2 linked regions of the Neodiprion lecontei genome follow. The protein of the gene in region 1 interacts with the protein of each later gene in a biochemical or structural test. Links are inferred from orthologs where the notes say so. Each region holds a gene or a part of one and is shown on either strand. Other genes may lie near its edges. The genes, in order: metal-response element-binding transcription factor 2 and histone-lysine N-methyltransferase E(z).

What was found.
Region 2: the proteins of metal-response element-binding transcription factor 2 (region 1) and histone-lysine N-methyltransferase E(z) form a complex in vitro, tested with the Drosophila melanogaster proteins (2 studies listed by BioGRID). The link is inferred for Neodiprion lecontei from reciprocal best matches to the Drosophila melanogaster genes Pcl and E(z).

Annotation. Positions count from the first base shown.
Region 1 is NC_060261.1:15,228,687-15,233,713, reverse strand, and holds the start of metal-response element-binding transcription factor 2, read left to right. Parts: upstream 1-1,765; 5' UTR 1,766-2,236; intron 2,237-4,301; exon of another isoform or gene 4,302-4,304; 5' UTR 4,305-4,315; coding exon 4,316-4,447; intron 4,448-4,574; coding exon 4,575-4,775; intron 4,776-4,865; coding exon 4,866-5,027. UniProt on the Drosophila melanogaster protein: Polycomb group (PcG) protein.
Region 2 is NC_060261.1:24,934,565-24,939,675, reverse strand, and holds the start of histone-lysine N-methyltransferase E(z), read right to left. Parts: upstream 3,214-5,111; 5' UTR 3,126-3,213; coding exon 2,990-3,125; intron 2,792-2,989; coding exon 2,478-2,791; intron 2,020-2,477; coding exon 1,738-2,019; intron 1,036-1,737; coding exon 819-1,035; intron 1-818. UniProt on the Drosophila melanogaster protein: Polycomb group (PcG) protein. Catalytic subunit of the Esc/E(z) complex, which methylates 'Lys-9' and 'Lys-27' of histone H3, leading to transcriptional repression of the affected target gene.

The sequences.
Region 1 (5,027 bases):
ATCGCGTGTCAAGCACCTGGCGATTGTATTCTGCACGAAATATTCGATAGAATTTATATCTTGAATGTTGTCCATAATATTATCGTACAACTCAAATGCACAATATTCAACCTAGCTTACAGTATTAATAAACGATGCGCACTTTATTTTCCTAATGCAACGTATGTGTTTAATTTTTATTGATAGGCCGAAACTAACTACGAAGAAGAAAATCCCTTCTGAAAAACGAAAACGTTAATTGGAAATTACAAATGAGGTTGAAAGACGTCACGTCATTGTAACGATGCAGTTTCAGAAAATCTCGAATTGTCTGAAATTCAGTAAATCATAATACACCGTTAACAATATTGCCATATACCCATATATCGCGAACTTAATTCCTTGAAAGTTACTCTGAAGTTGCAAAATAATAATCTTTCTTTCAACTTTTCATTGCTTTAACGTTACCTATACCTTCGACCTCGTTATTATATACGCTGCAAAATCCTTCATGTAGAAATGTGTATATGTATAAATAATGTATATATTTTATAAATAGCAGTGAACTTGGCGGATGCTCGTAACTGATTCATCGGCCGATACCTGATAGACATATTACGATTGTCACTAATAACGTTTTGAGACCATCGGTGTTGAGAGTCATTTCCTACGAATGCTTTTTATATCGTGTATATTATGAGATCAAAGCTTTGAAATATTTCCTCACGTATAATTTGTGTGTATGTTTGTCTGCACGAAAGGTGAGAAATATGAGACACCATTGATATGCTTAGTTTATTGTATAAAATAAAATTGTACAACACGTATCTATAGCCGTAACAGTGAATTCACCAATAAAATGTAATATTTATTTTCTACGTCAATTCCTCAATCTTCATTCCCTTCTCATGTGCATACAGCTATTGAATCTTCCTAATATTTTCCGTTTGTCAACTGTATTATCCTCCTCTTAATAAATTCCGTTCCATTGTTGTTATATATTCAAATTAACAATGCAGCGAAATTTTTCATCGCTGAGCAGAAGAAAGGAGAAGAATTAAGAATGGCGGAAGAAATCGGTGCAAAGATTTCAAAATGGCAAATCATTGAACGCAAACAATGCGTGAAAAGCGATTGAATCTCGGTGCATTATAATTTGCAAAAAAGATTACAGTTGTCGCGATACAGGAACGTGCGTCACGTAGTACACATAATGCACGTAATTCTTACGTCACATGTTGTGGCTTGGCGGTCCCGTGACAGCAGCGAACATCGCGTATACGTAGGCATATAAATATTGCATTGCAAGTGCCCCGATTATTATTTTCCCCCTATTGTTCCTTAGGTCAGACATGAACGGCCAGTTGCCGATAGACATAATGATGCTTGTAGAGTTCAGTGCGCGTGATCAATTCCCGACACGACTATAAAACCCGGGTGTCGGGTTATAGAATCAGGCGTGTGTGCAAGTGGGTATGAAGTTATTACGAATGCACCACCGGACCGCCGACGAAGTATGTGACGAAAATGACCGGCTTCTGGTCTTTCCCGATAGCGATGTAAATACAGCCGTAATGTTGTAGATCGGTCGAAGGGTGGTAGGGCACAATTTCGTTCGGCGGTGAGTCCGGATCAGCGGTTAATTTGTCACCCCCATCGACGAGTTTAAAGGACCTTTCAGAATGTAAACAAATTGGAAAGGCGGACAGCATTATGGCAGTGAGTGTACCGTCAGGCGGAAACTGGACTGCTTCACGGTTTGACGAACTAGCGTCGGATCGAAACGAAGTCTCGGTCACCGATCGGTCGGTTAAAAAATATCTCGAAACCGGCCCGGCCTTGTTCTTTAGTGCTCGAATTTTTTCAGTGCGATGCAAGGATTGTTTATGTTGGGTTATTCGGTCGCTGATTTGACCCGCGTAGCAGCCCAGCAAGTGTTTCCCCAAACATGGCGGACGGAATGTATTCGAATTTGTTACATCTAGAATGAAATTAGACCGAATAATCGGCACAAATGAATAGCTGTAAGTGCGGGAGGTAGCTCGAGTCGTACTTAATGGATGTAAGAAACGATCGGTACAACGACAGGTGATTCGAGTCTGTGGGGATTGTGCGGAGACTAAATGAAATAGGATTTTGCCGCGCGCGGCCGAGTCTGTCGGGGCAACCGTGGCGGGGCCCCCATGGTTGTAAATGGCTGACGAGATGGAAAATGAAGAATAACATTCGCCTCTGATATTCCGGCCTAGACGTCAAGGTACGACCCTCAGAATATCGCGCTGGTTATCGCGAAACTTTCAATTTTATGTCACAAGTACACCGCTCAAACTCACCCAGGCTTCTATCTTCTTTACTCTTTTTTACACGGGGTTGTTTCGTCCTACGATTATCTTATATGAAACGATTGATTCGGTCTGTGGGGGATGCACACCGACCTCCCATGCACCCCCTGGGCGTGTTTCCGACTTTATCCCCGTCCTCCGACGACTCGAATATCATTCAAAATCCCCGAGACTTCGATCAGATTTTCTCAAACCTTGCATGCATTGACCCACTGGCTGAAAGTCCTCCAGACATCCGACTGTTTTTATTTTATTTCGGTTCTGATTATGTCCTTCGTTCGTTTCATCCCTATTTCCTAAAATTCATTATTCTATTTCTTATCGAATCTTTTGGTCTTCCACTCGTACCGTTTTCCAACGAAAATATATTCCCCCCGCAGATTCTATCAACGCGCAGCCAAAATTTACCCTCAATCATCTTTTCATACATTTATTTCTTTTCACCTTTGTACTTACACATACTGTAATTGTTTTCAATAAAGATTTTACCATCTATAAAGATTCATTTCTGTACCCGCTCTTTTGTCTTCATGTTTTTTCAACCTTCACACATTTGACTCGATCATCGATATAACTGAACTGACACAACTGCCAGCGATGTCTCAATGTTATCCACATTCATCCACCACCTGCCGGTTTCGTCTCTCACATTCATTGGATTTAATTTCTATAAATGTTGCAACATACCTCTTACAGGAAATTGCTCTACATCATTGGATGTTCATTAAACTCACAAGACCAGATTTCTTACGCCAATATCATCGCGTCATTAGACTTGAATTCAATGTTTTCTAACTTAGTTTTATAGTAGCTTAACATGTCAGTATATCAAACACCTAATTTGCAGCATCTAGACGAATATACGTATACATATATGTATGTATGTATGTATGTGTGTATATATATATGCGTACATATATCTTTATGCTGATCCTTCTCTCTGCCACAGAAACATTTATTTTTCATTCAAGTCAAACATAAGTACATTTTTCATAATTATATGCATACTTGTGTGCGTCAATCCTTTATTTTGTAACAGGGAAAAACGTATCTCTGTAAATCCTGGAATTTAAAATGTCTCACTACCACTGATCATTCGGGTATGCTTATTGTAACTGCATGCGCCTATTTACCTTACTGATTGGGTATTCATAATATCTCGTTTGTGAGCAAAGTTCGTCTTGATACTAACTATTCTATGAACCTTGTAACCATGGTAAAATTTATGCATTCAAAGGCAACCGATGCAATCGCAAGAAAGTTTCTAATATTTTTCAATTAGCCGCTAAACTTTTCACATTATCTTTTATGCTAGGGCAACTGGTCATAAAAGACTGCATTGATCTATAAATTTTATCGTCAAAACATTTGAAGACAATCTTTTGTTTCGACTTGAATCATAACTTATCAATAGAAATTCATGCGTGATACAAGTGGGGTGTAAATTACATAATACAAATAGTAGCGAGTATTGATGTATCACTGAAAATGAATTATCACAGGGCGATAAATGAGAGGTTATTTCTTTTTCTTGGAACAGTGAACATGCATGTTTCTTACATTGTACTATGAGCCTGATGCAGAGTTATGATTGTGGCAACTCAGAAATCATAAGTTGAGATATCTGCATTTGTTACAAAGTTTTACATATCACCTAGTCGCTGAACACTCTGCATCATCGCAGTGCTAAAGCAATCAATTTACCAAAGAAAGAAAAATGAGAACAGTAGAATTCTCGAGAGATTATCTTCGAAAGGTTATCGCATAAGTTTCGGTAATACATCTGCGTTTAAGAATTAATGCGTTTACGACACTGTCCATTTTGGAAATTAGCCTTTGATGGTAAGTATGTTGCAAACCTGAAAAATTTGTATCACGATGCCCACTTGTCAGTTAAAACTTGAAAGATAGGGATCAACTCATGACGTTTTGTATATGTGGTATAAATTTGTGAGAGAAAAATTATTTCAACAATTTCAGCAGCCGGGTTGAAAATGTCGGAGCCAGAGGAGAGTCCGGCTGTGCCGGATAGTACAACTAAGGAGCAGCGTCTCGGTTTCTCTCATGGCGAAGACGTTCTTCTCCAGCACAAAGATGGCAAATATTATCTTGGTACTGTCGTAGAGGTAAGCTTGATCATGCAAGTTGAATTTTATCTTCGGGTAGTACCACATTCATCAAAGGACTTCTCAGTTTGCGTTTGAAAAGATCTTTGAACGAGTTTACAATGTCTAAATATTATAATGATTTCAGGTGGATTTGGCCAGGGAAAGATGTCTTGTCAAATTTTTAGACAACACGTCTTCCTGGTCATCGGTAAAAGAGCTGGCAAAACTGGCAATGCCAGAATCAGACGTGATGTGCGTATTGTGCAAGAAGTCACAACCCAAGGCTGACAATGATATTGTTGTGTGTGATAAATGTGGCCGTGGTTATCACCAGCTATGTCATCAAGTACGAATGAGAGAAATCTCACAAATTTTACTAGCTTCATTCTCATTCACGTGCATTCGGTTATAATTGAAACAATTATATTTGTTTCAGCCGCAAATAGCTAAGGAAGAAACAGTTCCAGAAGCACGTTGGATGTGCAAAAGATGTATAGACAGCCAACCAAGGACTCGAGAGCCTGCCGAGCCCAAAAACTCAATGGTCAAGGCAAATATTAGGAAAGTTTGTAGTGGCAGAGATCAGCCTCAGCCTCCG
Region 2 (5,111 bases), about 9.7 Mb from region 1:
AACCAATAAGGACACAAAACTAGCCATTTAATTTTTATAATCTTGCCACCAAAATTTCGGAGATATCATAATTTACTTTGTGAAAAGCAACACATTGTGTAAACAATGTATTGTGACTTGCTCAAAGTAATGTCATATTGTTATTAGCATTATCATTTTTCTTGCAAGCATTTACCGGTACTGAACGATTTAGGCATTTCAACAGCATTTCACAGATCTATGAGAGAGCAGAAAATATATACAAAATCTTGCAAAGCTTTTCATAAGCTTATAATATGTGAGCTTAGATATTCGCGAATATCAGTGAAACAATGACATGCAAGACAAACTCAAACTTTTACAAGGCAAGGAAATTTAAGCTAAAGAAAAAAAGCAGATAAAAAATTTTGGCTATCGTCAATGGCTCTGTTCGAATTGTCAAAAATAATATAGTCAGTTGATTAAAAAAAAAATATTTAAACATTTTCTGGGCTGTCTCCTGTGGAAAAGTTGAATATTTTATATTATGAACTTAAATTTTTGTTGATAAACTCTCAGCTGATCAATAAACTATTCCGATATCCCCTTGTGAGAAAAAGTTTTTAGATTTTTTTCGCGCACATTCGATGTAGCCAACCGCTCTGTTCAAAATATTTAAAAACTGAAAATCAGTTTGTTTTTATGAAATGGAAGTAAATAATATTGAATAATACAAGCATCTGAGATACAATCAAAACTTTGCAAACATATTGAATTTTTATAAAAAAAATGTTGAACTAGAATTTGAAATTTAAAAAATTATGTACTGCACAGATCCTCCAAGATCGTTATATACTTACGATGCAGAAAACAATCATATTTAAAACACCTTCTACAAAATAACGTATGAAAGGAATGCATTGTTTGTTCTCTAGGAACGCTTTTAGCATTAACACCATCTATGTTCGGCGTACATTCTGGAGGTAATGCATTTGGATCAGATCTTTCAGTAAGCTCAATGTACTTTTCTCGTAGCTCCTCAGGTCTACCTTTGTCAGGAAACATGCTTGATATAGCCTGTAAATATATTAAGGAAACATATTTCCATACATACACAGATTTCTGTTCAAACTGAATCTCAGGACAGATGAAACTGACTTCTGCAATGCTAAACACTTGTTACTTCAATTTACTAATTTTCAACTATAAAATAGTTTCGAAACTTGTTTCATAATACTTTAAGAATGCAGTCGACCTAATATCAAATAATAATCAAAATGGAAGTATAACATTCTTTCAAAAAATGTTTGAAGATTTCAACTTCAGATATGTCATGAGAAACTCGTTCAAACAACTATTTATGGCCAAGTTTTGATAGCCTGGATTAATAACTTTAAAGATTAGAGGTTTACATCTACAACTTTTGTCAGTCAAGATCTAGCAATAAACACACAGCCCAACCATTCAATCAGTATACCTGCAGCATGCTAGAACTGATGGTGAAAAAAAAATTTCAATTGATTCTCTGAGTAGTGTTTACTACCGGGAAGATATTTAATTTTCTAAGGAATAAAGCTGAATTACGGCTGAATTTTTTTGATAATACTCATACATTTATACTACTAACCACTACCATTAGTTACTAACCATATCCATTATTCTACAAGATTATTCATTATTTTTATTTATCATATTGTTTGCGGATAAGCAGCATTTAGCATTCTCAATTTGTTCTGAGAAACAATTGTTTTACGTCATTTGGGATATTAAATAGCTCACGTTGAATATGTGCATAGAAGGAAAAGGTGTAGTCCGAGATTCCTTGTCCCTAGAATCTTTTGAATCCTCGTCAATTTTTTCCAATTTCACTTCAATTTTCATACATTCCAACTCTGTTATTTCGCAATCATCATCTTTTGAACTTTCCTTATCTTTTGTGGATTCTTTACATTTCTTAGGTGGTTCCTTATCTCTGTCGTCTTTCTCATATAGCATCAGAGCATTTACCAAGTCAACAAATATAGAGTCATCCATAAAACCAGACTCTCGATCACCGTGAACCTAAAATATTCATGAATTCATAAAATTCATAGAATATTGATCAATTAGTAAAATGATACATTTTAGGATTGTTGTACTTGAAATTCCTTGAAAAAATTGCCTTTGTATGACCTTTAAATCCAAAAATTCAATCCCAATTATTCTTGTAAATTAGTATGATCATTATTTTGCACTAAAATTCTGCACTTCTCTTTGATTTTTGAGCTTTGGACAACTCACAACTCGCAAGCAAAACTTGACCTTACATAATATACATAAAATCTGACACATATAATAAATTTAAAATCTTTTCTTTCACAATTTTCAATTTTTTTTAGACTCTCTTCTTCTAATGCGCAATATGATGCATTATCTGTACATTTTATTATTGATTAGAATTGCCACATTGCATTGTTATAAAAAGCTCAGATGATCGTAAATAAATGTCTAAGAATTGATTTGTACTTTAAAATGATTACCTTGCCATCATAATTTTTTATCAACTCTTCAATAAATGTACCATCTTGATCAAGTATTTCGTCACCCATATATGGAATATTGTGTAAAACCGTCTCATCTTCAACCATAAAATTTTGTTGGATCGGCGCCCAAGTATACATAGTCGGTATAGGAGTTACAGCATTTATTATTTTTACTGGACACGTTTGAATATCACCGTCGGAGCTTGAAACCTCTGCTTTCTTCATACATGAAACATGAGGTGGAACCTCTTGCATGGCCAGCCATAGAGCCTTTCCATCTGCCCACCGTTTCTGCTCTATGACGAGCAGCTCTATCGAGAAGGCAAAAAAAATATCAGGTTCATTGTTCAAATATTTCAACAATTAAAGCTATGATTCCGATGTTTGTTAGCTAAAAGTAATTTCCAAACAAATTAAAAGATTTACGAATAGAATATGTCAATCGACAATAATAAAGACTAATTATTGTCGTGTAACAAAAATTGATTCAAAATGAAAAGTTTGTTTACCTGTCATAATTTTGCGATTCTGATTCCATGCTATTTTCACTTCATCAGCGCGCTTGTAACGTTTCAATTGTCGCAAGCGCATATACTCCGACTTTACACGTTTCTTCCACTCAGCCGAGACTTTAGCTTTCGACATTCCATTCACTTCTGGACACCTGATCAAAGATCGTGTTGCAAACGACTGCTATTTCGTCTTCTTCATAGAGAATTAGCTGCTACCTATCAGCCACGGAGTTGTAGCAGGTAGACAAAACTCTGCGATAAAACTTGTCCCCAGTTTTAAGGTAGCGTAAGAATTATCTGAATGCGGTTAAAGCGCCTCCTACGGACAAAAGTGAAATTGTACAAAAAGAAGGGCGGCGATGGCGGCGATCATCACCTATAAACCTCAATGCTATAAACATACTCCGTAAAATCCACCATTTGAAGTAAGTGAAAACCCGTAAAAACCAGTAAAGACCGAGTGATTGCTTTACCAACCTCAACCGACATTAAATCCGAGTAAAAGGTGGCAAAGGGTAAATCCATAGATGGTCTTGAACTGTCTAATCTAGGGACCTTGCCCGATGCCCCTTCCGTCTTTTTGGAAACTCCCGCAAGAAAGGGCTCCGCTTGGAGGCTGCGTCCATAAATCCGTGCAGATAATTGAGGTAAAAGCACGTCACGATCCATGTTTATATAAATATACATAGTCAATTCCTACCAAGTTCACTTCGGAACTTTACGATGACAGCAATGCTTTGGATAAAATCTAAAACTGCTAAACGATAAATTTTCGAGGACGATTTTTTCGTATGCTCTTCAATAGAGATCGGACTCCTGTTCTCTGGTCTCCATGGCTCGGGCGGTAAGCTGCAAGTTGATGTTCTCTATTGACAACGCAATCGACTGGTGCGTTCCGATATTAATTTCCAGTGCTGTCGACAATCTTTTATCTCTTTTGCGCTGCGGTGTTCGGGAGTAGCTCTGCCTCTGTCCTAAGAAATTTTTTAGCCCTGTCAGCTAATTTCAGAACGCACCCTCAGGGTGCTATTTCATGAGCAGTAAAAGGCAGCAGTGGTTTAGTAACTTACTAGTTTTCACTAGCATCAGTCTTGTAATTATACGCAGCAGCAGCGCTGCTCATGAAATAGGTCGTGGCTTCTTGTGATCTTGTGGCTTGTCGCTCCAGAAACTAGGTTTGTTCGTGCTAGCTACACTCTACACTCACGAGTGTAAAAAGAACTAGGGTAGTGTACTAGGGATTGCTGGGAAGTGTACGTCGGCTTCTTGACTGTAGCTAAAGATAGCGCGAACGCAATAGTGTAGAAGGTGCAGAAAAGTGGGGACAAGAAAATGGCGCACGTTACGAACAGTCGTTTTTTTTCTCGAAACACTTATTAATACAACAAATTAGTAAATAAGATAAAGCATTTTTGGAATTTGTTAAAGAAATCTTTCAGACCTTATGTTTTAAGTATACCGTTATCAAATTGAATGTTGTTTTTTAGTAAAATACTGTACTGCTTTGTTCTGATTTAGAGTGAGGTTATGGGTTTGTTGTCACTCGTGAGTTTTAAGGTATATCGCATCACAGTTCACTAACGTGGTGGAAAAACCTGTAGCATTCATGCCAATTGAACCATTTACACTTTTTACACTTTTTACACTTGGTCTAGACCGAATGTAAAAAGTGTACACAAAGGCCGTGTTCGAAAATTGACTGACAGTACTGTCAGCAATCTTTCATCTCTTTTGCGCTTCCAAGTTCGTGGATAGCTCCGACTCCGTCCTAGGGAATTTTCAGTACTGTCAGTCAATTTACGAACACGGTCAAAGTGTAACGAAAGTCTAGTGACATTTGTAAAACGAACAGCGCCATCCGACGTCACGTTCGCTAAAGCGAACGCGCAAGTGTACACTCCCCACGAAAGTGTAGAAAGTGTAGCAGTACGAACAAACCTACTGAACTGCGAGCAGCAGAAACTTGCGCCGGAAGTGATAGGGGAAAACTGCTGCAGCTGCTGCTTTTTACTGCTCATGAAATAGCACCCTTAATGAACAGCTCTGCTGCTGCGTCAAACTAGTAGACAGGTTTTTGTAACATCTAGTAAGTTACTAAACTCTTGCTGCTCTTTGCTGC